2 linked regions of the Sus scrofa genome follow. The protein of the gene in region 1 binds, or shares a complex with, the protein of each later gene. Links are inferred from orthologs where the notes say so. Each region holds a gene or a part of one and is shown on either strand. Other genes may lie near its edges. The genes, in order: CMKLR1 and RARRES2.

Region 1 (15,616 bases):
CACCCTCTACCACCGGAACCAGCCTCTCATGCTCAGGCTGCATTTGGTTTTCAGCCCCAACTCTGTGCCATTCAGGATCTCACATAAGCCCCCCAATACCCCTACAGGGAAAGCCCTTTTATCATCCCCAGTTTACAGTGGAGGAAACTGAGGCTCAGAGAAATTGTGTTCTTTCCGAGGTCTCACAGTGGGCGAGGGCAGAAGTGGATTTCAAAACAGGTCCATGAGCTGGCAGAGTCCCACTTCTACCCATCTGGGGGCTGTTCCTTTCTTACTCAAGGAACGCCCTTTTTCTCCTCACCCTAAATCCCTGACAGTTGAAAAGGGCCCCTGTGAGTCACATCTGTTGTAAAAAGAGGTGAAAATTGCCCACACTCCCTGAAGACCCGTTTTTGACGTCAGTCAGCTCCATCCCCCGGTGATGCGGGGGCCAGTGGACCCTTCAGTGCCCAGCCCGGTTCATTTGGCTCCAGCAGGCAGTGGCCAAGTCCCTCTCCCCCAAGTAAACACATTCCAGGCTGAGCACAGGTGCCATCCTAAGCCATCTCTCTTTAACTCTGAAGGAAAACACCTTGTTTCTCCCAAGCGCCATGCCTGCATCTGTCAGCAAGGGCTGGGTGTGCTCAGAGAGAGGACCGATGCAAGAAATCTTCTCCTTTCTGAGCTGGTTTCTGGACAGACAACCCAGGAGGTAAAGCCACAAACCGACATACCCTCTGCCAAGCTAGAATCTCCAACTCAATTAGCTTGGGGTTGTCTGGGATCCTTGACCATCCAAATCTTCAAGTTTAAGCTCTGAGTTTGGAGGAGACAAGGTCTGGGGACAACAAGATGCTATTTTGGTGAAATGGGGACATATGGGACCACCCAGAACATTGGATGGGATCTTCGAGGCCCGGCAGAACATGTGGCTCCCCCCGGCTGCTCCCTGCTTCCATCCACTGCACCAGACACCCCTTGCTCATCAAGCCTCCAAAATCTCTGCTCACTCTGCTCTCCCAGACAGAAATATCTTTTATTTCTGGCCAACTTATCATCCAGGCACTCAAAGCCAACTCATCCTTGGAACCAGCTCAAATACATGCTCTCTTCTCCAGGCACTGCTTCCCGACTTCCCCAGTCAAAGCTACCCATCTCTTTGCTCCTGGGCTACTCTGCACACTGAATGCACCAGGCGGGCACTGATGTGAGTCTTTAACAATAAGCGCTCAGTCGAAACGGCCCAGGTGAACCCATTTGAGACTTTCAACCTCCAGAAATATAAGATCATAAATGTGTATTGTTTTAAAGCCACAGAGCTTGCAGCGATTATTAGAGAGGCAACAGGCTCATACACTGACTCACAGGGCTCTTAGTCCATCCCAGACTCAGGAATTCACAGATTCCAACAAATTCTGATAACGAGGGATAGGCCTATCTTGAATGCCCTCGGTCCCTGATCACCACCCCAGATCATTAGTTGAGCACTGCCACAGCTCTGAGTCAAGAGGAAATCGAGGCTTAAAGAGGTCATGTGACTTGCCTGAGCTCACTCAGGTGACTGGTTCCCAAGACCAGAACCAGATCTGCTTGATGGCACCCCACCAGCCCTCCTGTCCCTCTGATCCCTGATCCACAGAAGGAAAAACTGAGCGTGCTAGCCACTGTTTCTTGCGCCAATCACCCTACCCACCCACCTCCTTGCACAAGAGCTGCCCTCAGCAGGAGCACAAGGCTAAGATCAGAGGACCCAAGACCCCAAGAAAGCAGAACCGATTCCAGCATTCTGCCTGAAGAGCAGCTGACCCCCCTGCTGAGTCAGCTGCTGATACTTTCAAGGTTGCCACAATGTGTCAGTGGGGCTGGAGCACCCTCTTCCCTGACCCCCCCATTACCCCCTACCCGTCCCCCGTTCCCCACCCCCGCCCTTGGAGCCCAGCACTTCTCCATGGGGCATGGCAGGAAGCAAGGAGACTGGCCAAAACGACATTTTCTACCCTGGGAGCCCAAGGTCGCAAGGCACCAGATGCCCCCATCAACTGACACATACAAAGGCAAATTTCAATTCCCACTTTCCTGAAAATAAAAATAGAGGTGACTTCATTGAGCTGACCACGTGCCGTCCTCATGTATATATTTATGTATATTAACTCACTTAACCCCCAAGAGTCTCCCTGCCTTACAGATGAGGACACTGAGGAGGCAGGAGGTGAAAGGGCCGAAACAGGATCTGAACTCTAGAGCAGGTGGCTGTGGCATCTATGACCATGTCACACTGTCAGTAATGCCAAGCAGACATCAGTGTATCTTTCTGTGACAGCACCAGGTAGAAATAACATGGCCTCTGGGTTCCAACCAGCAGGTCAAGAAATTCTACTATTTCTCGGAGTTCCCGTCGTGGCGCAGTGGTTAACGAATCCGACTAGGAACCATGAGGTTGCGGGTTCAGTCCCTGCCCTTGCTCAGTGGGTTAACGATCCGGCGTTGCCGTGAGCTGTGGTGTAGGTTGCAGATGCGGCTCGGATCCCGCGTTGCTGTGGCTCTGGTGTAGGCCGGTGGCTACAGCTCTGATTCGACCCTAGCCTGGGAACCAACATATGTCGTGGGAACGGCCCAAGAAATAGCAAAAAAGACAAAAAAAGAAAAGAAAAAAAGAAATTCTACCATTTCTCAATTAAGCTTATGCAAAAATCTACAGGTTCCAAAAGAGAAGTAAATTAACCGCTATTTTGCCTTAAAACAGCATCAGCACAAGGTCACTGCCAACCCACAGGACCCCTTCCCTGTATTCAGGCTCAAGCCTAGGGCCTCACCCTCAGCCAGTCCTGAGTTCTGGCCTGGGAACCAAAAGCCCTGGATCCTAATCCTACCAAGTGACCTTGGAAATGTCACTTAAACAATCAGAGCCTCGCTTTCCGCAGATCTAACACGTGGGCAAATGTAACTACCCCCATGGCCCCTCCAAAGTCCCATGAGGGCAGGAATCCTGTCTTTTTCACCATCCTGCCTTGTGGAGTTCCAGGCACAGAAAAGGTGCTAATGAATGTTTGTTGAGTGACTGAATAAAAGTCTAAGTGACAGGTTTGCCTCCCTTCCCCTAAAGGCCTTCAGAAGAGGGACTGGGCCTGATCCATCTTAAGTTCTCACCTGGGTACAGCTTTCGCTCTTCATGAGTTTATTCACATAGGAAATTGTCCCTAGGCACCCACCCTGTTCCCAGCACAGTCAAGGCCTCAGCATCATCCAGGATGCACAGATGGCTTCAGTCCATCCTCACACGCCATCTCCTCTTTTTTCTGGCCAGTGACTGTAACACCTAATCACACTGGGCTTCCTGAGCCCAAGACAACCACCCAGCTGCCTTCTGATCAGCAAATCTGGCCCATTCTGGGGTCTTAGACAATGATTCCTTCATATCCATTTCCTTATACCCCACGCTGGGGGAATACAGCCCAAGGAAATCCCCTACCCTAACCCCATACGTGGTCTTGAAGTACACTCGTGCATGCATGCACGTGCGTGTGTGTGCACACACACACAAACACACACACACCTTGCACACATGTGCTCCAATGTGCAATGGGACCTTAGGACAGGAGTTGGATTTTCTGAGTTGAAATCCCAGTTCTTTTTCTTAAGAGCTGTGTGACCTTGGGAGAGTCCCTTTACCTCTCTGAGCCTCATTTTCTTCATCTATAAAATGGAAATGCTAACCATGAAGCCTTTCCATGTAGGGTTGTAGGGGGGTTCAGTGAGATAATGGATATGAAAACCTTTGGCTCAGCAAGCGTGCTTAGCTCTATACCATTATTATAGTTCCTTTTTCCAGGAGGGAACAAGAACAGCAGTTGCCTAAGTTCTAGGAAAATCTATGTTTAGGGGACTGGAATGTGGAGATTTACTCAGTGTATTTGATGAGGATTATCTGGAGGATAGGAAAGTATTTGTGGGCCCCACGTTATCCTGTTAATTTTAAGATTGACTAGTGAAAATTTAGAATTTAGAATCAGGACTGGAAGAGACCCAAGCAGTCACCGTATTTGTGGCAGAGACAGCTAGCTGTCCACAAAAATTTGTCCTCCCTTCCACAGTACACAGCTGTAGGTGAGACTGAGTCACCCTTGCCAAGAACTACATTTCACAGCCTCCTTTGCAATTGGATTGGCCACATGCCTAGTTCTCATGTGTGGCAGAAAGCAGTTAAGAAGCAAACATGCCCCCTCCATCCTTTCTTTCACCAGTGATGATGTCCAAGGGATGGTAGGGACATGAGATGGGTTCCTGAATCGCCACCCCCCACACAGAAATACCTGCCTTATAATAAACTTGTGTTTTGTTTGAGCCGTGATACTTGTTTGGGTCTATTTGTTACTTCCCTGACTAATACAACATTCAATCTCCTTATTTACAAATGAGAAGATTATGGCTAGAGAGTGAAAATACATTGCCTAAGGTCACACAACAAACTCAGCAATGGTTAAGAACTTTGTTGTCTTAACAATTTGGAGTAGATTTGCAGTTTTCAAGAGGATTCCTAGAGGCCTTCGGCAGTGACAGTGAGGCTCAGTGAGCTGCTGTATAGAGTCTTCCACTTCTGCTTCAACTAGAATAGCACCACTTTATCTGTCTTCAAATTGCAGTTCTTTATATGTTTTTTTTTCTTTTTTTCTCTTTTCTGTCTTTTTTTTTTTTTTTTTTTTTTTTTTTTTGCTTTTTAGGGCCACACCTGCAGCATGTGGAAATTCCCAGCCAGGGGTCAAATTGGAGCTACAGCTGCAGGCCACAGCCACAGTCATGGCAACATGGGATCTGAGCCACATCTGCAACCAAACCACAACTCACGGCAATGTCAGATCCCCAACCCACTGAGCAAGGCCAGGGATTGAACCCACCCCCTCATGGATACTAGCTGGATTCATTTCTACTGCACCACAACAGGAATACACTCCATATATCTTCATTGGATGAAAGGGTTCTGTGACTTAAAATAATGTCAAAGGCCACACACTGGGTGATTGCTAAGGGATCTGACTTTCTGTGGTATAAGACCAAGTTTCGCTTCTTCTCCACCATTGCCTCTTGGCCTCAACTGCTGACATAGGACATGCAGACTCACAGAAGTGCATAGATATTTGCTTAGAAAGGAAAAAAATGTCTCCGTGAGCAGCAAAGAACCCAGAAACCTGGATAAAGGGCAAAAAGGAAAGATATTCAAGTATTCCATCTCAGTGATTCTCAAGTTTTAGGGTATATCAAAATCATCAGGGGTGCTGGTTCAGAATGCAGACACCCACACCTCATCCTCAGAGATGACTCGAAAAACCTCATCCTCTGACTCAAAAAACCAAGGCTGGAGTTCCTGTTGTGGCTCAGCAGGTTAAGAACCTGACTAGTGTCCATGAGGATGCAGATTTGATCCCTGGCCTTGCTCAGTGGGTTAAGGATCAGGAATTGCTGCAAGCTGCAGCATAGTTCACAGATGCGGCACGGATCTGGCATTGCTGGGGCTGGGGCATAGGCTGGCAGCTGCAGCTCCAATTCAATCCCTCACCCAGGAACTTCCATGTGCCCCAAGTGTGGCCCTTAAAAGCAAAACAAAAACAAACCAAAGCTTTAGGAAATGTTCATAATTATTCTAATGCTAGAGGTCCCAAGATTGCCCTTTGAGAAGCCTTGAGTCTGATTCACAGCCTGGAAACTCTCAATGGTAACTGTGCCTATGTAGCATAGCTCTAAGAGCATGAAATGGGCTCTTGGTTTTCTTGTACACTGGCTGGAACCTGAGCAGTAATAATTTACTGGTAAAGAAATCAATCATAATTTCTCTTTGGCTCAGATGGGTGACAGGTATGGTCAGCATGGTGATATAGAAATGATAATAGAATAATAGCTAATGTTTATAGCATCTTCTGACACAACAAGCTCTCTGCAAAGTGTCCAACATATATCATCTCATTTAATCTTTATAATAATCCTATGAGGTAGTTACTGTTCCTCTTCCCATTTTACCAATGAAGAAACTGGAGCATAAAATTAAGCTGTGTAGACACTCAGTTGGTGGTTAAAACTCACCCAGCAGAGCCCAATCCAATAGCCACAATGCTCTGCTACCTCTTGTGGAGGTCTAACACCAGAAACCCTCTTCAGACCTCAGTTTCCTAATCTATAAAATGGGCATGTTAAGAATATCTTTATCATACAGCTGTGGTGAGGAGTCAAGAGAGTCATGGCGATAAAGTGGTTTGTAAACTGAGAAGAGTTATTAAGGAAACACCTAAGAAGTGAGACTTTAGTCTCACTCCCCCGTCCCATTTTATGGGTGGGGAAACCGAGGCCTGGTTACTTTATTTACTCAGTGAACCTTTCCTGAACACCTACTGTAAGCGAGGTCTTGTGCAGAAAGAGAAAAATAGCCCACGTCTGGCTTCAAGGAGCCTCCAGGCCAGCAGGAGAGACAGTCAAGATGATTGACGATTACTACACAGTGTAATATGTACTGTGATGGGTGGAGTACGTGTACTGGGAGAGTCTAGTGGGCAGGCCTTGACCCAGTTGGGGGGAGAGCACTTTTCAGAAGGTGTCAAATCAATGAGGGGAGTGACCTGCCCAAAGTGAAATCTATTATTCCCTGACGTTTTGGAGGAGTCCAGAGAAGGTCCCTGTGTGCCAGCGGATAACTCTTCCCATGGGCTTCTCAATGCCTGACCCACCACTTGGGCATCAGTGGTTCAAGTTAAACTTTAAGAAAATGCCAAGCTGCCCTCCTCCCGCCAGTGGCCTCCTGGATTGACCAAACACATTCATCTCAGCAACAGAGGTGTTTAAAGGAGACTGTCCTTTGAGCAAGTTTGAAGAAATCAGGAGAGATAGTAAGAACCATGGAGAAGACTGGTTTTGAAAAACAGGCTGGGGATGCCGAAGGGGCCAGGCTCTTGAATGGAGGGAGAAGACAGACCCAAGGCTTGGCCGCTCTGCTGGCTCCCTGAACCACATAGTCTGAGTGATCAGACTGTCATCAAGTAGCAGTTACTTGAGTATAACGACGTGTTGTTTGCTTGTCATTTTACCAAACGCTGGCCTGAATGGCTTACCCATTTAAAATGTGCTAGTCTGAAAGCAGAATGGGGAGTGGAATATTTCTGACAGATAGCCCTGGCTAAGGGTTCATATCCTTCATATGCAAAGAACTCTTAAATCTCAATAAGATAAAGACAGACATGCCAGCAAGGGGGAAAAAAAATGGCAATAGACTTGAACAGGACAGTCCTAAAAGTGAACAGTAAGATTCTAGAGAATAATCAGCATGAATAAAGAAACATCAAGTCAAATAGCCAGATGTTATCCTCAGCTTTCCCATCAGGGGGGTTGTAGGAGATGGGGAACAATGGGGATGTAGGGGGTTGGGGAAACCGTGCGAGACTATCACACCCCAATATCGTGCCAGGGGAGTGCAAGCCAGCACAATCTTCCAGGGTGGTGTGGACAAAAGCCTTGGAAGCCTTAAAAATAGGCAAAACTTTGAGCCAATGATTTTACCTCTGGAAAGGTATCCATAGGAAAACACGTAAAGATGATATACAGAAGCAGACATTGCAATGCCATTTATATTAATGGAAAAAAGAAGCAGCAGCAACCACATTGAGGAATGGTTAATAAAGTCATCGTCTCTGTGCAGCCATAAAAATGTACATTGGAGGAACATGGATAGTACAGATGGAAGGTCACCATCCATGGTTAAGGACAAGGTAGGTTACCACAGTAGATAGTGGAAAAGTGTGTGTGTGTCCACACTGAGACACTCCTATGTGTCTGGTACATTGTAGGCACTCAACAAGCTTCATAACTAAATCAGCGTGTGAGCACGTGAATGAGTGGTACAGAGAGGCACCTAGCAGTCCACCCCTGGATTAGGAACTCCGTCTTTCCTCTCTGTGGCTGAGAGGTAGGATGGCCTAGCGGCTAGGAAGGTGGGCTGTGCAGACTCTCATTCATTCTGACCTCAGCCCCCAGCTTACCATCTCCACCATGCTGAGCAGGTGCCTCCCCCAATCTGAGCCTCAGTTTCTTTACCAGTAAAATGGGGACCATGAAAGTCCCTCCCTCCTCAGACTGCTGTAAGCATTGACCAAGTACCAAAGGGAAACACTGAACTCACTGCTTTTATCACCACGGTGACCTCACTGTTCTTTACAATTAGCATGCATCTCTTTGGAACTCTCAAAGTCGTAATATAGCTGTTTCCATTTGGACGAAAACTACATTTTAGCAAGAACCAAAGAGCTTCTGTCACTGCTAGGGTTCCCCTTCCCAGGCCCCTCTGGCTGATATCAAACCCAAGCATGATACCTTGTGGCTGGTCTCCACCCAGATCTTCCCAAGGCTTTCGTGGCTTCAGGCCACTGGAGGCTGTGCAGGAGACCTGTGTTCCCCGACTTCTTTCTTGAAATCACACTGTTCTTGGGTTGTGGCTGTTTGCCCAGAAAGCAGTTCATGCATTCATACAAGACCCCCTCCAATCCCCCAGAGCACAGCCCCCCAGAACATCCTCATCTCTCGCAGGCTCCCAGGGAGACCCACTCTGTGCGCTCTTTGCTCAGCAGGGCTGCCGTCCTGAATGGGCCAGAGCTCTGCCAGAGAAACAGCTGGAGGGAGGAGAGAGGGAGGGGCAGGAAACCGGGCTGACCGAGGGCGGGGGCGGCCAGCTGCGTGGAGTGGGGACCGACAGGGGAGGCTGCTGGGGCTTGTGGGTGGTGGCTGGTGGCGCAGCCTGCTGGGGAGGACCGGCCCCTCTGGGAGCCGGGAGCCGTGCCCACCATCTGAGCACAAACCAGGAGCACATGCAGGCCTCTCCGTGGCTGTGGGAACCACTTCTGCTCCTTGCCAGGGCCTCTGGAGCTCCAGCCAGACTATGCACAGACGAGACTGGCTGCCGGATATCCCTGGGTCACCTCCTAACCCCAGCGTTTGTGCATGCTGTTCCTTCCACCTGGGTGCCCTTCCTGTTTCCTGCCCCTAGTTGTGGCCTGATAACCCCCTACTTCCTTTTTTTCCTCTTTATTAGTATTATTATTTTTTTTTTGTAAATTAAAATAGCAACGAGGTGGGTTTTTTTAAAGCATCAAATGAAAAAATTAAAATGTTCTATAGAGTTTGATTTTAGTAAATGTTACAGGGAAGCAAAAACCTTAGACACCATTGACAAATACATTCATGTACCATTTCTAGAGTGATAACAAACTGCAACAAACCTTTAACCACTTTCAGACCTTGCGTTAAGTATTAATTCTATTTTCATCCCAGACCCAGCTTCCCAGAGGTAAATATCATTAACAGTTTGGAATGAACACACACATACATTTTAAAGATAAAAGTAAAATGACTCAGTCCTACTTTGGGTACCATATTGTAACTTGCTTTTTCATTCAATGATTGTATGTCTACGTAATACATATTTATACATATATATGTGTGTATATATACACACTTTACTTTGTTTTAATCATCACTAATTATTTCATTGACCTGATGAATGTTTATTTAATCACTATTTTAGGGTGGATGATTAGGTTATTTTCAACTTTTGGACTATAGTATACACACCATTGCACACTTATCCAATTACTTTCTTATACAAAAATGCCTATGAACATGTTTATTATTCAGAGTCACCTCCCAGGGAAGACTTTCCTGCCCCTTGGGGACTGCTCTGGGCTCCCCCGTCGCAGCCCTGATGCCCAGCTTGTTAGGGTGTCTCTGTCCCTTGCACTGGGAACCTCTTGGGGGAGGGCCTGTGTTTTGTCCCCACGGCTAAGCATGTGCCTGGCTTATAGTCACGGATCAACACCACCATCATCTCTGAAGAATCAAAATAGCTGACAGCCAGGCAGTGTGCTAGGCGCTTGGTATTAATCCTCATGAAGGAAGGAAGGAATTAGGTGCTATTTCTGCCCCTATTATTCAACTTTGAGAAAATTGGGACACGGAAAAGTTAAGTCACTTTTCTAAAGTCACACCATTGGCAGGTGGCAAAGCTGGGATTTCAACTGGGCCATCTGGCTCCAGAGCCCCACCCTTAGCCTCCAGACTAAAGAACTAACAGAAATGTCCACTGTGTGCATTGCTCCATGCCAGGTGCTTTCTGTGGAGTACATCTCGAACCTCCAACAATGCCAGAGGAGGTGGCATTTGCCCATTTTACTGATGAGGATTCTGAGGCCGTGGAGGGAAAGTCATTTTGCCCAGGGCGCCCAGATCATACCAGTAGTGGCATAATAGAACCAAGGTCTGTCTGATTCCAAAGCCAAGGCTGCAGAAAATAACTGTGTAGAAAGGAAAAGAGAGGGGTGGTGGGGTGGAGGGAGAGCAGGGGGAAAGGTAACAGAGAGAGAAAAAGGGAGGGGGATAGGAAAGAAAGAAGAAGGGGGAGTGGAAGGGAGGGAGGGAGGGAGGGAGGAGTGAAAAAGAGGGGTGAGAGAGAGAGGGAGGGAGGGACACCTGCTCTTCTTGGGCCTCCAAAATCTTGGGCAGGTAGGGAAACATGTCCTTCAGCATCTGACCAGCCCAAGAAGCTCACCTTCTCTCCCCACCATCCTCGATCTTTCGTTGAGATTTACATTTAGAAACTATCTGGTCTAACACTTTCATTTCAGAGATAATAATTGGAAGCACAGAAACGTTAAGTCACTTGCCAGAGGTCACACAGCTCCTAGAGTCAGAAGTCAGGCCCAGGCTGACTTAAAACCCCTCTCCTCCCTCCTCTGCCAGGCTTGCCCTTCCCCATTCATACTGTACAGATGGAAACATTGGACCCAGAGAAGGCAAGGGACCCAGAGAAGGTCACCCAAGAGTTAGCAGTTGAGCGGCAGCCACAAAGTCTCCTGGTCCAAAGGGGAGGCCATTTCCACCATGTGAGGGGGATCCTGTACCTCACCATCTAAAGGTTTGTCACTAACAGAGACCAGTGGTTCTCAAAGCATGGATTCCAGGCCAGCAGCAGCAGCAACCTTACCTGGAAGCTTGTTAGAAATGCAGGCTGTTAACAAGCCCCCAGGGGATTCTGATGCTGGCTCGAGTTTAAAAGCCACTGATACAGACTTTTCCATTAGGAATACATTCTGGATCCCAGGACACGTCACCTTCTCAATCCACAGAGCCGTGGTTAAGGATGTAGACCTTGGAATCGGACAGACCTGAGTTGATAGAATCCATGTCTCCACCACTGGGAGCTGTGTGAACAGGTCCTTTCGCCTCTCTGAGCCTCAGTTTCCTCATCTGTTTGAATGGAGGAGGAGGGGAGGGGAGGAGGAGGGGGAAGAGGGGGAAGCAGCCTTCCAGGAAGAGGAGCACACTCCTGGGAGTCCTGGAAGGGGAGGTGGGCGGTTGGGCCTTTGGACGGATTTATGGAAATTGCCTCTTCCTCCTTCTAGAATGTCTCCCAGAGGCCTCTCGCCTCCAGAACCAGCCCGAGGCTATAATGAGGCTCAAGTTTTATCAGCTGGAAGCCACCTCAGCTGAGGGAGGATGCTGGGCTCCCAGCCAGCCAGCTCTGGATTCTGGAGGTGGAGGTCAGAACGTGCAGCCCCACCCAGCCCGTGAGGAATAGGCCGAGTCAGGCCGCGACCGACCGACCAGCAGAAGCCACGGTCTTTGGCCGCCATTCGGAACATGGCGGAAGAGTTTGGCTTTTTCTTCCTTGGAGTGAAAAGCATTGGGTGAGTTTTTTTACTTTCAGTGTTTTTTTTTTAAATAGGATTCTGAAATCCAAGCCTGAGACCAGAATACTGGGGCCTGAGAGGGTGGTCATGCCCTTCAGGGCTGGCAAAGACGCTTCTGTTTTTTCCCCATAGATGCTGTCGTTCCAAGAAGGCAGATAAGGGTTTTTAAAAATTATTTCATTTTATTTTTTTGAATTTTTTAATTATTTTAAAATTTATTTTATTGAAGTATAGTTGATCTACAATGTTGTGTTAATTTCTACTGTACAGCAAAGTGATTCAGCTACACACACACACACACACACATATATATATACACACACACACACACACACATATATATATATATACACTCCTAGAGTTCCAGTCATGGCCCAGTGGAAATGAATCTGACTAGTATGCATAAGGACGCAGGTTCAATCCCTGGCCTCACTCAGTGGGTTAAGGATCAGCATTGCCATGAGTTGTGGTGAAGTTTGCAGACGTGGCTCAGATCCCAAGTTGCTGTGGCTCTGGTGTAGACCAGCAGCTGTAGCTCTGATTCAACCCCTAGTCTGGGAACTTCCATATGCTGGGAACCTCCATGTAGCACGGGTGCAGCCCTAAAAAAAAGGCAAAAAAAAAAACCCATATATATATACACTCTTTTTCATATTCTTTTCCATTATGGTTTATCACAGGGTGTTGAATATAGTTCCCTGTGCTATACAGTAGGACCTTGTTGTTTATTCATTCTATATATAATAGTTTGCATCTGCTAATTCCAAACGCCCATTCCATACCTCCCTGACCCCCTTGGCAACCACAAGTCTGTTCTCTAGGTCTGTGAGTCTGTTTCTGTTTTGTTTTTTGGTTTTTGGGTTTTGCTTTTTTTTTTTTTTTTTTTTTTTTTGCTTTTTAGGGCCGCATCTGTGGCATATGGAGGTTCCCAGGCTAGGTATCAAATTGGAGCTGCAGCTGCCAGCCTACACCACAGCCACAGTGATGCAGGATCTGAGCCACGTCTGCGACCTGCACCACAGCTCACTGCAAAACCAGGTTCTTAACCCAGTGAGCAAGGCCAGGGATGGAACCTGCATCCTCATGGATGCTTGTCAGATTCGTTAACTGCTGAGCAACGACAGGAACTCCTGTTTCTGTTTTGTAGATAAGTTCATTTGTGTCATATTTTAGATTCCACATATAAGTGATATCATATGATTTTTGTCTTTGATTTACTTCACTTAATATGATAATCTCTAGCTACATTTATGTTGTTGCAAATGGCATTATTTCATTCTTTTTATGGCAGAATATTATTCCATTGCATATATGGACCACATCTTCTTTACCCATTCATCTGTCAATGAACATTTAGGTTGTTTCCGTGTCTTGGCTATTGTGAATAGTGCTGCTATGAACATAGGGGTGCGTACATCTTTTTTTCAATTATACTTTTGTTGGGTTAGGCTTCCTCATGATGCGCAACTCTAGTTGCTTGGCTCTGGAATCCTGGAGCTCTGTGTTTAAGGATATCTGAGGCTACATCCAGGCCTGCCTGAGAAGAGAACTGTGATCAATTAGCAGTGCCTTCCCTGGACCTGGGGATGGGGGCTCTCTCATCCCACGGTGTTCTCCAACAAAAGTCCACCCCATTGGCCTAGGAGGCTGGGGGCTAGTCCCAGCTCTGCCCCATTTGTCCCAGGTATTGACAGATCCTAGTGTAGATTTCATTTGTATAATTTGTATCTCCATTCCCCACACTCCTTGGTATCTGTGAGGGTTTTTTTGGGGGGGCGGGGGAGGGAAGCCTCACCCTTGGTATATGGAAGTTCCCAGGCTAGGGGTTGAATCAGAGCTATAGCCATCGGCCTACGCCCCAGCCACAGCAACGTCAGATCCGAGCCACATCTGCGACCTACACCACAGCTCATGGCCCTGCTGGATCCTTAACCCACTGAGTGAGGCCAGGGATCGAACTCACATCCTCATGGATACTAGTCAGATTTGTTTCCACTGCCCCACAACAGGAACTCCCTTGGTATCTGTTTCTGATTGATCTTAGTGTTCAGGGATTCCTAACACCCTTAGTTAGAGCTAAATGATTTCTCTATCTCCCTGATCATCAGTTGCTAAAGTGGACTCACCAGAGAGGCTTTCAAACCAAAGGGAGCCTTCGGAGATGCTTTCTGAGACATGCAGAACTCTATAAAAGCGGATAGTTTGGGGCTTTCTTGAAGGCATGGACAAGCCACACTTGGACCCGTGTGGCCTTGGGCAAGTCATTTATCCTCCCAGGTTCCTTCAGTGCTCCTGTGATTAAGTTATGGCTGTGATTAAGTGGTGAATCTGGATATGGGAATATAATCCTGGATTATCTGGGCTGGGCGGGGGTGGGGTGGGGGGGCAGTGTAATCCAAGGATCCTCATGAGAGGAAGGTGGGCAATGACAGGGAGAAGGCAGTAAGGTGATGAAGGAAGCAGAGCTCTCAGTGATGGGGTCACTAACCAAGGAATGTGGGCAGCCTCTGTGCTAGAGACAAGAAGTGGATCCTCCTCTGGGAGGAACTGGCCCTGCCAACATCCTAATTTTAGCCCCTTAAGACTCATTTTGGAATTCTGACCACCAGAACTCTAGGAGCGGGTGTATTGTTTTAAAGCACTAAATAAATGTATGGTAGTTGTTAAAGCGGTAATGGGAAATGAACCCAAAAGGCTGTTCCAGAAAAGACCAGAACACTTGATGGCAGCCAGATCTGAGTTTGAGCCCCTGATCCACTTACTAGCTGTGTGATCTTGTGCAATTTCCTAACCTCTCTGAATCTCAGCTTTCTCCTCTATGCACGAGAATAGTAAAGTACCTACCTCAGACTATAGGAAAAATGAGTCACTTGATACACACCACATGCTTAGAACAGTCTGGCACATAGTTAGCACTAAGTAAATGTTGGGTTTTCTCCCTTCTTTGGGGCATTAAAAGTCCTGCATTCCCAAGTATGGGCCCTCTATCTCTTGGGATGCTACTAGAACCACCTTCCTGATGCTCCATTTTATTTAGTGTCCTTCCACTGCTCAACAACATTCCATGGCTCCCCAGTACCCTGTCTTTAATTTGGTTGATCAAAATCCCCCATTACCAACTTCATCTCTCAGGAAGGAAAAAACCAGAGGGATGGCAGAGCTGAAAAGAATGTTGGAGGAGCTAGATCTTCAGATGTCAATTGAAGTGTCACCTCCAGACCTCCCAAGACCAGTCAGCACCCCTGTTGTCCGTTCTTATAATATCCTGTCCTCCACTGCAGCACCAGCCTCAGTCATAATGCAGCAATCATTTGTGCTGGGAATATACCATCTGTCTCCCTTCCACGGTCAATTCCATGGGGGCAGAGACTGTGCTAGGCACGTGGTCACTCTTCAATACCTATTTGTTAAATGAATGAATAGATGGATAACCAGCCAGCAACCTCCCCAGGCAGCTGAGCCCAAGACCCAAGTTCTTCCTGATGGCCAAGTTCCTGCTCCTCCCTGAAAGGCCTGCAGTGTTATCAAGATAAGATTGTTGAGCCCTGGGCCATGCGTCATCAGACACTTGTCATACCCTTAGCCAAAAATCATATTGGAAACTTGACTTGTGTTCAGGTAACAGAGTTCCTGCCTCTGTGGGTGAAGGAGGGTCCCTTGAGCTCTCAGGGATTGACTGAGGTGGAGGGAAGGAGCCCAGAAGTGAGATGCTGAGTTTGGGGAACTGAAAAGGAAGAAGAGGTAGCAAGATGCTCGAAACTCAGGATTCTGTCTGCTCAGCAAGCATCCGGGTTCCCCCAGGCTTTCATCCAAACTGAGAGGTGTTAACAGCACCAAATGGGTCCTGGGTGGGACAGGGAGTCAGGAAGCCTCCAGTCTGAGGCCCTGGGAGGGGGCTTTCCTGGTTGGGAGTGGATACACAG
Region 2 (15,194 bases), on another chromosome or scaffold:
AAACTAAATGATTCAGCAAAGTAGCAGGATACAAAGTCAACACATAAAACTCAGTTGCATTTCTATACACCAACAAGGAATAATCTCCAAAGAAATTATTGTGAGGAAAAGAAAATTCCATTATTCTAAATGGAATTTACAATATCATCAAGAATAAAATACATAGAAATTAACTTAACCAAGACCATGAGAGACCTGTACAATGAAAACCATAAAACACTGCTGAAGGAAATTATGGAAGACGCAAGTAAATGGAAACATATCCCATGTTCACGGATTGGAATACTTGATGTTGTTAAGATATCAATACCACCCAAAGTGATCTACAGATTTAATGCGATCCCTATCAAAATCCCAATGACATTTTTTTGCAGAAATAGAAATTAATAGAAATCCCTAGAGACTCCAAATAGCCAAAACAATCCTGAAATAAAAGAACAAAGCTGGAGGACTCACACTTCCTAATTTCAAAACTCACTACAAACTCAGCAAGCAAAACAGCGTGGTACTGGAGTTCCCCTGTGATGCAGTGGGTTAAGGAGCTAGTGTTGTCACTGCAGGGGCTCAGGTCACGGCCATGGTGGGGGTTCAATCCCTGGCTCAGGAACCTCCACATGCTGTACACATGGCTAAGACTTTTTTTTTTAGCCACCCCTGCGGTATATGGAGTTCCAGGGCCAGGAATCAGATCAGCTGCAACCCAGGGCAACGTGGGATCCTTTAACCCACTGTGCAGGGCCAGGAATCGAACCTGCTCCTGCCCTGCAGAGACTCTGCCGATCCCACTGCTCCACAGTGAGGACTCCTATCACCAACCCTTTTTGGGGCTAGGCATTCCTGTCTTCTCTCTGCTTTAATCTGCTTCTCTCCATCTTCCCTGACCCTGCTTCTATCACATTCACCAATAGCCACAACTGTCTCCTACTGAGGGCGCCCCACACCTAGACACGTCCCCTCTCATCCACTCTCCATACACTTGCCAACAGTAAGCTTTCAAAAATGCTACTTGTTTAGTGATTTTTAAAGTTTAGAAAATTATTTTTAGAAGTTCCCTGGTAGTACAGCAGTTTAAGGATCTGACTTTATCACTGCTGTCGCTGCTGTGGCTCAGGTTGGATCAATCCTTGGCCCAGGGATTTTTGTAAGCCCTGAGCACAGCCTTGCAAAATTTATCTTTATATTCCTTTTTTTTTAAATTTATTTTTTGCTTTTTAGGGCTGCACCCACAGCATATAGAGGTTCCCAGGCTAGGGGTCCAATTGGAGCTACAGCTGTCGGCCTATAGCACAGCCACAGCAACACAGGATCTGAGCCGCATCTGTGATCTACACCACAATTCATGGCAACACCGGATCCTTGGCCCTCTGAGCAAGGCCAGGGATGGAACCTTCGACTTCATGGTTCCTAGCTGGATTCGTTTCTGCCGTGCCATGACGGGAACCCCCTATTTTACACTCTAATGTACAAGTCACCCAGAGGGTAAGAGATTGTAAAAGTACAACGTGAACGTGCAGTTTTTCTCCCTCCTTTTTGCCTTTCCAGACAGTTCCTCTCCTCAGAAGCAATCAATGCTACAAGCTTCTTGTTTTCCCTTCTAGAAATGTTCCATGCGTTCATGAACATAGACAGACACACGTCGTTCATAATGAGAACTTGACACGTGGCCAGCCTGACTGAGGTCTTGGAATCTTAAAGCAAGAGACCAACGTTTCCCACATTGCTTCATTCCACTGAATGATGCCTATTGAAAATACCTGTGGGAGTTTCTGCTTTGGCGCAGTAGGTTAAGAATCAGACTGCAGCCACTCGGGTTGCAGCTGCAGCTCGGATTCAATCCCTCCGGAACTTCCATATGCTGCCAAGGCAGCCATTAAAAAAAAAAAAAAAGATAAAAGAAAAAAGAAGAAAAAAAAGTACTTGTGCTCCCTTTTCTGAATGGACTCTATGCAAGCGTCACGGGCAGAGCTGTTAAAATCGTTTAGTATTTAAGTGCAAATTCTTTGAAACATGGCCAGTTTGGGAGACTAGTGAAAGAAACCGATGACGATGAATTTAATAGTCTTTTCTTTGCCAGCACTCATTGGTTGAGTCACCGAAGGGTTTTGCTAAGACTTACTGTATTGTTAACACCAAGAATTTCTTGAAACCAAAGAATGTTAACCAAATATTCAATAAAGATAAAAAATATAGGAGTTTCCGCTGTGGCGCAGCAGAAACAAATCCAACTAGGAACCATGAGGTTGCAGGTTCGATCCCTGGCCTTGCTCAGTGGGTTAAGGATCCGGCGTTGCTGTGGCTGTGGTGTAGGCCTGTGGCTACAGTTCCGATTAGACCCCTAGCCTGGGAACCTCCATATGCCACGGGTTCGGCCCTCAAAAGACGAAAGACAAAAAAAATATATATATATGAAATAGAAAGTTCTCACACCAATATAACACTACCTATGACCAAAGGAAATTTAAAGCTCTAAAGAAAGGAAAAGCTCATTTGTGACCTAACCAAACAAATATGAGAATTTTAAATTAAATCTTTTACTAATAGTGAACAATTATGACTTTGCATACTTTTCTCACATAAATCAATATGTAAAGACTTTTAACTGTAGAGGACACCGTTATGTAAATTGGCTGCAAAAATTACAAGAAAACTTTGAAGACTACTTTGCTGATATTAATATTTATAGTTGCTTTTGAACTTATGCGATATTATTTTAATGTGTGTGAGTTATACTGAGTTGATACAAGAGTTAGTGAATTTACTGAACTTGGACAGGTGTATTTTGAAATTGATATACTTTTGCTTCAAATTCAAAATGGTTCTTTTATTTAAAATTTTTTTTAAATTTTGTCTTTTTAGGGATGCACCCATGGCATATGGAGGTTCCCAGGCTAGGGGTCAGACTGGAGCTACAGCTGCCAGCCTACACCACAGCCACAGCACAGCAACACCAGATCTGAACCACATCTTCGACCTACACTGCAGCTCATGGCAACACCAGACCCTTAACCCACTGAGTGAGGCCAGGTATCAAACCCTCGTCCTCCTGGATATTAGTCAGGTTTGTTACCACTGAACCACAATGGGAACTCCCACATCGGTTCTTTTCAGAAAACATGTGCTGGAGTTCCCTGGTGGCTCAGCTGGTTAAGGATCCAGTGTTGTCACTGCTGTAGCTCGAGTTACTGATGTGGCATGGGTTCCATCCCTGGCCCCAGAACTTCCCCATGCCATGAGCGCAGCCAAAAAGCAAAAACTAAAACCATACAGTAGTTTGTCCCTGTGGTTGCAAGTATGACAGGAGAATGTTTGGGTTCTCAGTTCACTTATTGGAATCTTTGCCCAGAGTGTCTTGGATGCATGAATCTCCGCTTTCATCTGTGAGGCCAGGGATGATCCCGAACCACTAAATAGCTAAGTGCTGTTACCTGCCCTTGGGTTGAGACATGCCACTGCCACTGAGCTCCTGAATATGCCCTAAGTATCCTCTCCCTGTCCCCACCTGTGACATTCTGCAGGGCGGTGGCCCAACTGTCACGTTCCTTTCACCCAAAAGGAATTCTGTCTGGTCACGTGACCTACACTGTACATGCATCCAGCGCCCAGTCTCCTTCCTTGTCTGCCGCCACCGCCCTGCTCCCAGCCTCCCTGGCTCACCCAGGCCTGATGCGGCCCTCACTGAAGCCAGGACACCTTCCAGGCTTTCCTCAGCCCCAGTCCGCACCTTGTCTGGGAGGTTTTCTCTGATCCTCCAGCTTGCAGCCCTGGGCTGGGAAATGCCTTCTGCCTGTTTTCCCTCTAGACTCACCGGAAGCTCCTGGAGAACAGAGATCCCAGCTCCCGTCTCTGCTTAAAGATCGTGGACAACTCACAGTAGGTTCAAAGTGTCACTGGTGGAATTTTAGCCACCAGAAAGGGCTAATTGAAGCCAAGCATCTTTATGGCACCCCCAGGGCACACTGCAAAGGCAACTCTTGGCTCCACGAGGAGAGTCCTGGCAGGGGCGCATGGGGAATGGGAGAAAACCTTGTGCCAAACACGGGGTCATCTGCCACTTTCCGTGTATCTCCTCATTTAATTCTCAAACCAGCGCCTAGGGTGGGGCGTCTACCCCCGCCTGGCAGGGAAGGGCTCTGGGCCTTAAATGAGGTCCTTTCTGGGGGAGATGAGCAGCCCTGGTCACCCGGTCCCGGTGACTGACACTCTATGAAATCCCAGAGCTTGCTCCTATTTGCACAAGCCAGCAGCAGGAGTCAAACCCCCACTTTCCCTGACTCCCAGCAGCCTGAGGAATCCCACCACGCCTTCGCCCACACGAGACCCCGGAATCTGTCACCGTCACAGATGGGACATGCAGGATCAGGACGTGTTGGCTGTGTTAGAGGTTGTCAGCCTCCTCTCTAAAGGAGACCGCTCCCTTCCCAGCGCGGCTTTAGGCCAAGGGAGGCAGCCAGGCAGATCAAAGGACCTCGAGGAGGTCCCATATGATTTGAGGTAGTCTGTGTTTCTGGAAGACTCTCCCGAAACGCGGGTCTGGGGGACGCTGGGGACTGGCCGCCCAGGAAGGGCCTGGGGGCAGGGCAGTCCGCAGCCCTCCAAGGAGAGGCTGGGCCGAGGGCCTGGCCTGGGGAGCGCAGTCCCAGGAGGGCCGGCCCAGCGCGGGGCGGGGGTGGGGTGGGGGGAGGAGCCTCCGCTGCGCTGGGAGCTGGAGGGGGCCCAGGAGGTGGGAGGGGGAGGAGATGGGGGCCGAGCCGTGGGAGGGAGCAGGGGGTACCGGGAAGAGGCTGACAGCCCGGCCAAGAGTCGGCCTGGGGAGGTCGGGAAGCGGCAGTGTAGGAGCGACCCCGAGGCCCGGGAACGGAGGTGAGCGGGGAGCGGCAGTGGCTGGACGGCAGGACGGGCGGGCAAAGGGCGCTGCTCCAAAGGGCGATATCTGTCAACTTGTCTGGAGCCCTGTCTTTCAGGCAACGCCCCGGGGAGCTTTTCACTGCGGGGGCCTCAGTTTCCACCCCTTTGGCTTTCTGGTCCTAAGACCACTCTCCCCCGCAGCGTCGTCGGGACCGTCCAGTCCTGAGGCGACCCCAGTCACAGGTTGGGGGGGCTGGGAGCGGGATGGGGGGAAGGCCCCAGAAAAAAAGGACTGGGGAGGGAGGGTCTGCCCGAAGAAGAAGAAGAAAGCCAAGGGTGGGACCAAGGCGAGCCCCCCATTTCCGGGGGTGGGGGCAGGTAGGGCTGATGGCAAGGGGCACTTTTAGCCCAGGAAGGGTTAAGTGTCCTCCTGTTCCCACCCGCTCTAGACCCCTCCCACGTGTTTACGTCCTCCCAAAAATATTCAGCCTCCTCCCAAAAATATTCAGCCTCCCTGGCCTCTCTTTGGTGCTTGCCCCTGCCCCCCCTCCACCCCCAGTTGGGGTGCGAGAGGGTGAGGGTCAGGGCCCCGGGCCCCTTGGAGCCAGTAGTTTGGGGACAGCCAGCAGGAGAGGGGCATCAGAGAGGATGGGAGAGAAAATGGGCCCCCAAAGCGGGGCAAGCTGGAGTGGGCAGCAGCGCAGCTTCTCAAGCTCTTGCCTGAGGCCGAAGGCCAACTCAGCCCCGACCCAGGACTGCGCCAGACCCGGGCTGAGCTGGACCTGGAGAGTGGGGGAGGGTGGGAGGAGCAGGGGAATCCCAGGGGAATGGGAGAGGGACACTCCCTGCCCTCCGCCTCTGCCAGACGTGGCCCCTGAGCCGCAGGGCCAGGGAGCTGCCCCACCCCGACCCCCCAAGCTGGCTGAACCCTAACCCTAACCCTTTGCAGGATCAGGGTGATCAAGGTGAAGCCATGTGGCAGCTGCTGCTCCCGCTGGCCCTGTGGCTGGGCACCATGGGCTTGGGCAGGGCTGAGCTCACAGCGGCCCAGCTCCGTGGCCTGCAGGTGGCCCTGGAGGAGTTCCACAAGCACCCACCCGTGCAGTGGGCCTTCCGGGAGACTGGTGTGAACAGTGCCATGGACACGGTGAGCGGCACCCCAGGGAGGGGAGGGGGACGGGACCACTGCACGGGAGTCCAGCATGTTCCCCAGGAGCAAATGCAAAAGTGCTTGGGCCCTGTGAGCACCCAGCTCTCCGGAGAAAGGCCACGGCCTCAGCCACCCCCTGGGATGTGCTGTTTCAAGGTGGGACAGGTCACATCCAGGAAGTGCTCTGCTGGCTCAGCTGGCTGCTGGCCTTCCTGTCTGTCGGCAGCCCTTCCCGGCCGGGACCTTTGTGAGGCTGGAATTTAAGCTCCAGCAGACCAGCTGCCGGAAGAGGGACTGGAAGAAAGCTGAGTGCAAGGTCAAGCCCAACGGGGTGAGTGAGGGCCAGCGTGTGTGACAGGGTGTGCGCTCCGTGAGAGTATGCAATTGGGGGTGGGTAGGAGATGCATCGAGAATGAGGTTGAAGACCTCAGAGGGGGTGGCCTGGGTCTGAGCCCAGGGTCGTGATGGTTTCGGGTGGGCTGCGGGCCTGGACAGACCAGAGGAGGACGGTTGGGCTTCTCTCTGAGGACGCACGTTCTTCAGACTGATCCTCCCTCCATCCAAGTTCCTCTCTCAGGCTTCAGGTCACGGGTGGAAGAAGCCCTGGTGAATTCCTCCCTTCCTGTGAGTTTTCAAGTAGAGATGGTCCAGCCTGGGCTGCTTCATACCAGGGCTTGATTCATCAGCCACGTTGGGAGCAAAATCACTGCCACAGGCCGACCCCTGGGCTGGGAGCACAGCCATCTGGGTCCTTGTCCCAGCTCTGCCGCACCCGCCCTGGGGCTCTGCAGGTTCTTTGGAGGCCTCAGTCCCCTCTATCTGTTAAGGGGGGTCTGGGTTACACTAGTGGTTTCCAGACCTTTATACCAGGACCCTTGTGTTCAAATCAAATCTTACAAGAAAATGCAAACAGATGACAGCAGAGTGGCTCGGGTGGAAGTCCAGTGTGGAGAACCCACCTGGGACGGACACACACACACACACACACACACACACCCCCACACACTCGTGCACTCTCCCAATCTCGATAGTTAGAAAACCGCAAGATGGTTTGACTTCGGCAGTTTCCCAGTGGGAGGGTGGTTGGTGCCTGGAACCAGCAGAACTGCCAATGGACTGTGACCCCACTGTAGGCTGCCCCCAGCTTCCACCCTCATGGGGCCATAGGCCTCCCTTCATCACCTTCCTCCCTGGCCCCATGCCCCCCTCCCCAGAGAAAGCGGAAGTGCCTAGCCTGCATCAAGCTGAACTCTGAGGATAAAGTCCTGGGCCGGATGGTTCACTGCCCCATAGAGACTCAGGTCCAACGGGTAAGAGTTGGCAGAGGCGCGAGGGGGAGGCTTGGGGGGGGGCTGCAGGGGAGGTCCGGGTGCAGGGGTGTGGAGGTGTGAAAGGCAGCAGGAGAGAAGAGGATGAGGGTGGGAGGGGCGAGGAGGAGCTCTGGGCAGGGCCCAGACGTTCCCTAGAGAATGCGGATGAGCAGTGGACGCTGCCAGGCCTCCCCCTGGGCCGGCCTGAGCGGGCGCTGGTGCCCACAGGAGCCCGAGGAGCGCCAGGAAGCTCAGTGCAGCCGGGTGGAGCGGGCCGGCGAGGACCCCCACAGCTACTACTTCCCAGGACAATTTGCCTTCTTCAAAGCCTTGCCCCCCAGCTGAGGCCCTGCTGGTAGGTGGCCAGGGAGATCAGAGCAGGGATGGCAGGCCGGAGTGGGGTGTGGGGCCGGGATGGAGAGGAGTTGGAGCCAGGCTGCGGGAGGCAGGGAGGAGAGAGCCTGGGATGGAAGGAAGGCTGGGATGGGGCCCAAACAGCCCCCTCACACTCAATCTTAGTTTCTCTTCCCTCTCTAGAACTTCACCCGGCTTCCTGGAAGCTGCGGGAGGACACCAGTGAAGGCCGCCTGGCCCTCCCCTCTCTGCGCCCAGGGAGGGCCACCCCCATTATCACTGAGCTAATAAAACTGCTCTGCTGAGAAAGCCTTCTCTCCTCCCACCCCCACAGTCCCTCCCTCCCCAGCTCAGCTGGAGGAGACCTGTGTGTGAGGAGAGGCCTGGAGGCTCCAGCCTCATTGGGAGAAAGCAAAGCCCCAGGGGGGGGCAGGATACTTCCCTTGGAGCACCCCCGCAAAGCCGCGTGCCCCTCCTCCTTCCCCAGGAAAGGCCAGCAGGAGCAAGGACCCGGGGCCTCCTTTCAGGGACTCACGCCTGGGAAGACCAAGCAGGGCCACGTGAAATGACAGGCAGCGAGGCAATTAACATCAGGAGTTTACTAGGGATCAGCGGCGCAGGGGGGATGGATGGTGAAGGCCCCGCCGGGCTGTGGGGCAGAGCAATCACTTGGACGGGCGACTCTGGAAGGCAGGAAACCATGGCCTTCTCGCTGAGCTCTGCCGGAAGGCTGGCCATCCCCGTCTTAGGAAGAAGCAACTTCCTTCCACCAGGTCTCAGACTCACAGGGGCAGGAATGGCAGCAGCTGTGGACACAGGAGGCAAGGGGCCTCTTCCCGGGCACTCTGAGTAGGTGGCAGGACAGCCTCGGATGGCGCCAGCTGCTTGAGGAGGGCCTGAGGCCCTGATACCTGCTCCAGGCCTCCCAGGAGGTGTGTCCCTGATGCCTGTGGACGGAGGTGGGCACTTTTCCTTGCGGTGGAGTAGCGGAGGGGGCTGCTCTTAGGGACGGGGACGTAAGAGCACAGTCCCCTGCTTTGCCAGAGGCCAGCGTGATGAAACCATAACAACAAGCACAGAGGCAGGAAGGGACCCATGGGCGGGAGGGGGGGGTCACAATGTGCCAACCCCACAGCCACATGCCAGGCTGCCCCGGGCCACGGCAGGGGGCGCAGTCAAAAGACAAAGGACGCAGTGGTGCCTGCGGGGCTGAGCGCCTGCTCGGCCCGAGCTAGGCTGTCGCTAGCCTGGCGGTCCAGGTCTTGGCATTCCTGCAGTGTGTCCTGGAACTGCCGGCAGGCCTCCTCCAGGATGGAGCTGCTGCGTGGTGGCCAGGACTCCCAGTAGCCTGGCTCCACCCAGGGCTGGGCCTCCAGGGCTCGGGACCCAGGGCTGGAGCTGGGACGCAAGGAGCTGTCCAGGTCCCGGCACAGCTGGTAGAAGTCACTGCCTCGGCCGCTCACACGCTCGCCGTCGATGACCTTGAGGCCCGGCAGCAGCTCCCGGACAGAGGCCCAGTAGGAGGGGCTGGCGCAGATTGGGTTGCTGAGCCGGGCCAAGGGGTCCCGCAGCCGCAGGCACTCGAGGCCCCGCAGGCCGGCCAGACACTGCAGCTGCCCGGGGCCAGCCAGCAGGTTGCCCGCGGCGTTGAGGCGCTGCAGGTTCTCGCAGGCAGCCAGGGGCTCCAGAGCCGTTAGCCGGTTGTTGGCGACGTTGAGCACGGTCAGCTGGCGCAGGGAGGCCAGTGGGCCCAGCTGGGTGAGTGCGTTGCCCGACAGGTCCAGCCACTCGAGGCCCAGGCACTCGCCCAGGCAGCCCAGGTCCACCAGCCCCAGGCCCCGCAGCTTCAGCAGCAGGATGGACTCCAGGGCGAACTCGCCCGAGCGTGACTTGAGCAGTTGGGGCGTGACGCGCACCCCGTCGGCCTCTCCAGGCTTCTCGCCCCGAGGCTCCATGAGACGTGGGGGCCAGGTGGCTGGCAGTTCCGTCACAGGGTTGTGGGTGCTGGTGGCGGTCAGCGGGCTGCTCGCCTCAAGGGGTTGGCCCTCAACTCTGCCTGGGCCCGTGCCCAACGCCTGTTTCCAACACCCCCCTCGAAGGCTGGTGGGTCCCTAAGGAGAGACAATCGAACAGTAAGCAGGCCTCCGAACACCTCTGGGAGCCCCCAGCCTCTACCGCCATGGCCAGAAACCTAGATGCCCGGCAGGACCTGAGGACTCAAGTCCAAGAGCCCGCTGAGGGGGTGGGCCGAGGGGGCCCGACTTGGGGTCACACGGGATGGCACTCAGGCCCTGTGTCGCCAGTTCCCCATTTTCCTTCTCTGCACCAGGGACACCTCTTTACTTTCCTTTCTCAGTAGCTGCTGGTGATTATCCATTGTCATTCTGAAGTGTTTTCTTTTCTTTTCTTTTTTTTTTTTTTTTTTTTTGTCTTTTGTCTTTCTAGGGCCTTATCCATGGCACATGGAAGTTCCCAGGCTAGGGGTCTAATGGGGGCTGCAGCTGCTGGCATACACCACAGCCACAGCAACGCAGGATCTGAGCCACATCTCTGTGGCCTACACCACAGTTCAGGACAACGCTGGATCCTTAACCCGCTGAGCAAGGCCGGGGATCGAACCCGCAGCCTCATGGTTCCTAGTCGGATTCATTTCCGCTGCGCCATGACAGGAACTCCTGAGGTGTTTCTTTTAACCCCTTAAAGTTATCTCTGAGTAGACAACAGGTGGCCATCACTGCCAGTCCTTCTGTTCCTCCCTGGGAGAGCCATGCATTTGCTGGTGTAAATGAGAGCACCTGGCCTTGCTTTATGCATCAGATACGTCCCTGACTCAGTCTCTTTTAATACCAGCAATGAATTCAAAATGGTTTCTGGGTTCCATGGGCCAACCCGTAACCTCTGGTGGTAGCTCAGCCTTCAGTCCCAGATGAGGAAACTGAGGTTGAGGGAGGGGAGAGTGGAGGCCCAGGGAGTAAGTGGCAGCACTGCCAGGCCCGACCCCAAGCCCTGGCCACCCAAACCCTCTTCACTTTGGCATCCACAGAACCGCATCCGTGGCTTTGGCATCCACAGAACCGCATCCGTGGCTCCAATCACAAACATGACGTCATTTCCCAAGCAGGCAAAGGGAGGCTGGGGAAGGTAGGCCGAGTGGTCAAGGGAGGCATCCTGGGGGAGGAGCAGGGTGGCACTTATCGTGGCTCCAGAAAGGCAGGGGAGGGAGGGGACTTTCAAGTCACTAGTAGCTGTGGGACGGCAGAAACCCGGGTGCTAGTGCAAGACAGGAGCACAAGAGAGGAGGCCGGGGGGCAGGTAGGGGGTGTGGCGATGCCGAGCACTGAGGGGTCAGCGTTTAGGCAGAGAGGAAAACAAGCAGGGATCTCTGCTCCAAGTGGCAGCTCCCCAAACCCACAGACTCTGGCCAGGCGCAAGCCAGGCGGAGTGACGCCTGCAGAGAATCAAGGGGCCATTCACTCCCGCTGTTTACAAAACCTGGGGCCCCAGCAATCGGCCTGTTTCCGTAGCAACACTTCTCATTCCCCCTCCAAGGAAACCAGACCCAGAACTCCCCCCCCAACCAACCCTCACCCCCCACTAGGGAGTTGGGGAGGCTGCTAACACATCTGACCCTCAGCTACCATCTGAGAAGAGGGTCCCAGGTCATTACCCGGCCCCCCTGGTCAGCAGCAGTCCAGCTCCTTCATTTCTACCAGTTTCCTTCCAAGAGGCGTGGAACGTGCTAGGAAGCCTGCCCTACTCCCTGCAAAACCAGCTGCTGGGGTCTGTAAGCAGCAGAGGAAGGGATGCGGTCACCTCTGCATCTAGCTGACCTCTCTGGCCCACAGGGCGGGGGGCATATGGGCACTGGGCACGAGAAACTGGCCATAAAAGCACCAGCAAGAAACAATGACCCTGCTGAGGGCAAGAAGTGACGGAGACGGGGGAGGGCAGACCAGAACAACTGCTGGGAACCTGGCCACACGGCCGGAGGCAGAGCTCCTGCCTCAAACACATGGGTGCACGTGGACAGGTGACCTCTGCTCTGCTCCCGGCCACAGCTCACCTCCAATCTCCTCACCTCGACTTGGGAGGTGCCCACACACCTGTGCAAACCCAGCTCGTGTGGAGGCCGGCAGCAGACAGCAGGCCCCGTGTGACGAAAATGGCTTATCCACATTCTACCACGTCAAGGTCACTCTAAACCCTGGAGCCATCCAGGTCTGTTACAGAAATGAGCAAACAGAGGCTGTTGGCCTAAATGTCTTGAAAAGGACTTGGCTACACGGGTGAGCATGGGACTGAGATAACAAGCGGCATTCCAATCTCAGGAGGGTGGCCCATCTTCCTCCCTTGCTCAGAGCCAGCCTTTCCGCGTCTCAGTTTACCTAAGTAGGAAACGGGCCAGAAAATGCTCAGACAGGCCCTGAGTCAGCCAGAGCAGGTGGCACCAAGGCCAGGGGAGCAGCCTCAGGCAGACAGTCTCCTGGGGCTGGGCTGCGTCTCTGCCATGAGGGCCGCTCTGTGCATCTGCTTCCTCCACCAGGAGAGGATGGTAGCAACCCCCCCACCCCACAAGCTGTGACAACCAAAACAAAGTGCCTGGATTGAGAGCCACTGCTCCAGAGCCCAAGCACCCAAGTTTGGGACCGTCCAGTGTCTTAGTGTCCTGCTTTCGCAGCCCCACCGCCCTCACATGCTACCCCACCCCAGTCCAGTGATGCCAAACAGTAAGGGCACGGTGCCTCTCCTGAGAGAACAGCTCGAAGGATGGCGGTGCCAAGGAATACAGAGCCCCAGGACCACCCTAGGGCACGTCTCATCCCTGCCCCCACCTGACCTACTTACTGCTCCCCAGGTAGGAGGGCGGACAGGCCACCCCGGTTCAGAGATGCTCTCAGGTGGTTTTCCCTAAAATTGGAGCCGCACTCACAACCTAAGGAAGGGAGGCGGAGAGAGGGCAGGGCCCCGATGCACTTGACACAGTGGGGACCTCAAGGAGTGGCCCCAGTCCAGCCCCTCCCCAGAGCCGTGCGCACACCCCTCCCACGGCTCGGGGAGAAGGTGCCCCCAGAGCCGTCTGGAGGCTACAGACCTCACTTCAAATCATGCTGCTCCAACCACGGAAGGCAATCTGTACAGTTTTATTCACGCCACTGTTACACTGCTAAACTGAAAACACAGGCTGCCAGGTAGGGCAGGGGTGCAAACTCACCCTGAGTAAAAGAAGACGGAGAATTTTTTCCTGCTCCCTTACAGTCTCAGTAACTTCCCAATGTCCTACCATGAGTTAGTCACAGTGGCCCAGGCAAAGCGAGGGGACAGGCCTCCAGGCTCACCCCCAGGGCCAGGGTGCAAGCTGGGCGGCGCTGCTCCCTGCCTCTGCCCACCTTCCCTCCCCGAGCCCGTGACCCAGTGACCCAGCACCTCAGGAGGGCTCGCCCCTCCTTCTCCCAGCCCAGGACCCTCCGGCCCTGCACACGGCCCTAGGGAACTCAGGGCAGCCGCCCACCAGGGTACCCTCCCTGCCTGCTTCCTGAGGCCGTCTGCAAGCCCCAGGTCTCCAGGGGTCTAGAGAACCCTGCAGGTGGGAAGGACAGTGTGAGGAGGGGAAGGCCCCTCCACCTCAACCCCAGGCCGAGGAGCAGCAGCCCAGCCGTGAGGACCCTCGGGCACTCTGGGGTCCCCGGGGAGGAATGGTCCTGAAGCCACTGTCCGCACAGCACCTCCATCTTACAACAGCTACCTGCCTCGGGGTCTCCTCCTTTTCCCAGGAGGAGCATCCTCGGCTCAGCCAGGCTCTAGGTGGCTGAAGATGTTCCCTGTGGCACCCCCGCCCCCCCGCCCCCGGGGCCCCTGGTCGCTCTCTGAGGAAGCAGACCCTGAGGGCAGGGCCTGCACCCTGACGCACACAGTTATGCTGCAAGTGAGGTGTGCAGGGCCCCTTACATCCCCCAAGACACGTATTTTTTTGGCAATGCCCGCAGCACGCCGAAGCCCCCAGGCCAGGGACCAAACCCTCCCATAGCAGAATCCTTACTACTTGGCCACTGGGGGCTCCCACCGCCCACCAGCGCTGTAAAGGAGCACTGTGGTCCGGAAACTGAGTGGCACAACTCAGAGCCACCTACTGACAAAGCCAACATTTCCACACACACACCGCTGGCCACAAATCAAGGGGTGAGCAGATGCAAAGTGACAGCTCCCTGGAAACAAAACAGCCACCTGTCCGAAACCAAGAAACATTCTTTTCAAACAGGTTTAAGGTTCTGGCCAACCCTCTGCCCTCTCCTTCCAGCTGCTGCGGGCTCCCACGGGCAGCCCCTTGGGCGTCACCCGCTGGTCGGCTCCCCCTCAGCCAGGTCTCCACTGGGGAAGACCAGGGGTGGTGGGGTGTAGCTGGGGAAGTGCTCCAGGTTGGTCTTCAAGAAGAGAAGGTGCTCGACCGTCTCCACTGGGAGCGAGGCGCCGTGCTCCACGATGGCGGGGCTGTCCAGGGAGGCAAAGACGCTAGCAGAGAAGGCGCCCGTGGCGGGGCAGGACAGATAGATGGTGGCCAGTCTCGCCAGGGCTGGCCAGACTGCCCGCCTCTTTGCCCAGTAAGCCAGGGGGTCCTCCTGGGCGCCCACCGTCTCGTTCTCACGCAGGTACTTCTTAACGATGATGCTGGCCAGGTGGTTCTCTGTGGACAGGGAGGCACCACTGCTCTCAGAGGCCAGCAGCCCGGCACTCTCCAGCTGCTCCAGCAAGCTCCTCTCCCTCTGGGCCAGCAGCAAGGACCCAGAGGGACTGCTCCTCCGCACCGGCTCCTCCTGGCCCTTGCCGCCAGTCCCAGGGCTCCTGCTCCTTCTGCCACTCAAGGTGGCGCCCGCGCGCCCAGCCCTGGGGCCCTGCAGGGAAGGGGAGGGCGGCGTGGCGTCCTCGGACACCATGATCTCCTTGACCTTGCACACGAGAACCTGCTTCCAGTGGTCAATGTCAGCCCCCGCGGGCAGGATGGCCTCAATCCTCCCCTTGAAGCGGGGGTCCAGGAGCGTGGCCAGCACCAGCTCCTCGCGGTGGAAGAGCTCGGTGAGCTGGAGGTCTGTGGCGAGCTGCAGGGCCAGGCCCTCAGCCAGCCGCACAGCCGCGCCCACCTCCCCGGCGCTCTGCCCCTCGAAGTGCCCGCGAAGCTGCTCCAGGAAGATGTGCAGGTAGCGCAGCTGGGGCAGCACCAGGCTCAGAGTGGCCTGCGCAGCACTCGCCTCGCGGACCACCATCTGGAAGGGCTGCAGGAGCTTGACTAGGCTGTCTGCCAGGCTCCAGAAGGTGGCCGACAGGGCTGTTCCCGCCTTCCCCGGCTGGTGCTTCTCCTCATACTCCCGCAGCGGCCGCTGCTGCTCCACCAGCCACTCCATCAAGCGGTAGGCAGACACCCAGTGGTCCGAGAGCTCCCCGAAGGGCTGGCGGGCCGGGACACCGCACTGCTGCTGCAGCTGGGAGAGGAGCCGCCGGGCCTCTGCGGAGCCTTGGAAGTGGCCGCAGATGGCCCTGGCAGT

Evidence for each region.
Region 2: the proteins of CMKLR1 (region 1) and RARRES2 are in contact, whole or in part, in a cryo-EM structure (PDB 8ZJG), measured with the Homo sapiens proteins. The link is inferred for Sus scrofa from reciprocal best matches to the Homo sapiens genes CMKLR1 and RARRES2. Residues at the interface, in NP_001135815.1 of Homo sapiens: Asp20, Tyr21, Leu22, Asp23, Ser24, Ile25, Val26, Val27, Leu28, Phe88, Leu92, His95, Tyr103, His104, Asn116, Leu119, Ile120, Met123, Arg178, Leu183, His184, Gly185, Lys186, Ser188, Cys189, Phe190, Asn191, Trp203, Thr205, His217; in NP_002880.1 of Homo sapiens: Leu34, Phe37, His38, Phe60, Thr75, Ser76, Cys77, Arg96, Leu111, Gly112, Arg113, Leu114, Val115, His116, Cys117, Pro118, Ile119, Thr133, Leu136, Arg137, Gln139, Arg140, His146, Ser147, Phe148, Tyr149, Phe150, Pro151, Gly152, Gln153.

The regions. Positions count from the first base shown.
Region 1 is NC_010456.5:42,413,179-42,428,794, reverse strand, and holds the start of CMKLR1 (chemokine-like receptor 1), read right to left. Parts: upstream 8,451-15,616; 5' UTR 8,326-8,450; intron 1-8,325. UniProt on the Homo sapiens protein: Receptor for the chemoattractant adipokine chemerin/RARRES2 and for the omega-3 fatty acid derived molecule resolvin E1.
Region 2 is NC_010460.4:55,896,467-55,911,660, reverse strand, and holds RARRES2 (retinoic acid receptor responder protein 2 precursor), read left to right. Parts: upstream 1-5,806; 5' UTR 5,807-5,818; coding exon 5,819-5,992; intron 5,993-6,221; coding exon 6,222-6,326; intron 6,327-7,209; coding exon 7,210-7,305; intron 7,306-7,533; coding exon 7,534-7,650; 3' UTR 7,651-7,660; intron 7,661-7,824; exon of another isoform or gene 7,825-7,842; 3' UTR 7,843-7,886; downstream 7,887-15,194. Other genes in the region: ZBED6CL (ZBED6 C-terminal-like protein), read right to left, coding at 13,989-15,194; LRRC61 (leucine-rich repeat-containing protein 61), read right to left, coding at 8,835-9,770. UniProt on the Homo sapiens protein: Adipocyte-secreted protein (adipokine) that regulates adipogenesis, metabolism and inflammation through activation of the chemokine-like receptor 1 (CMKLR1). Also acts as a ligand for CMKLR2.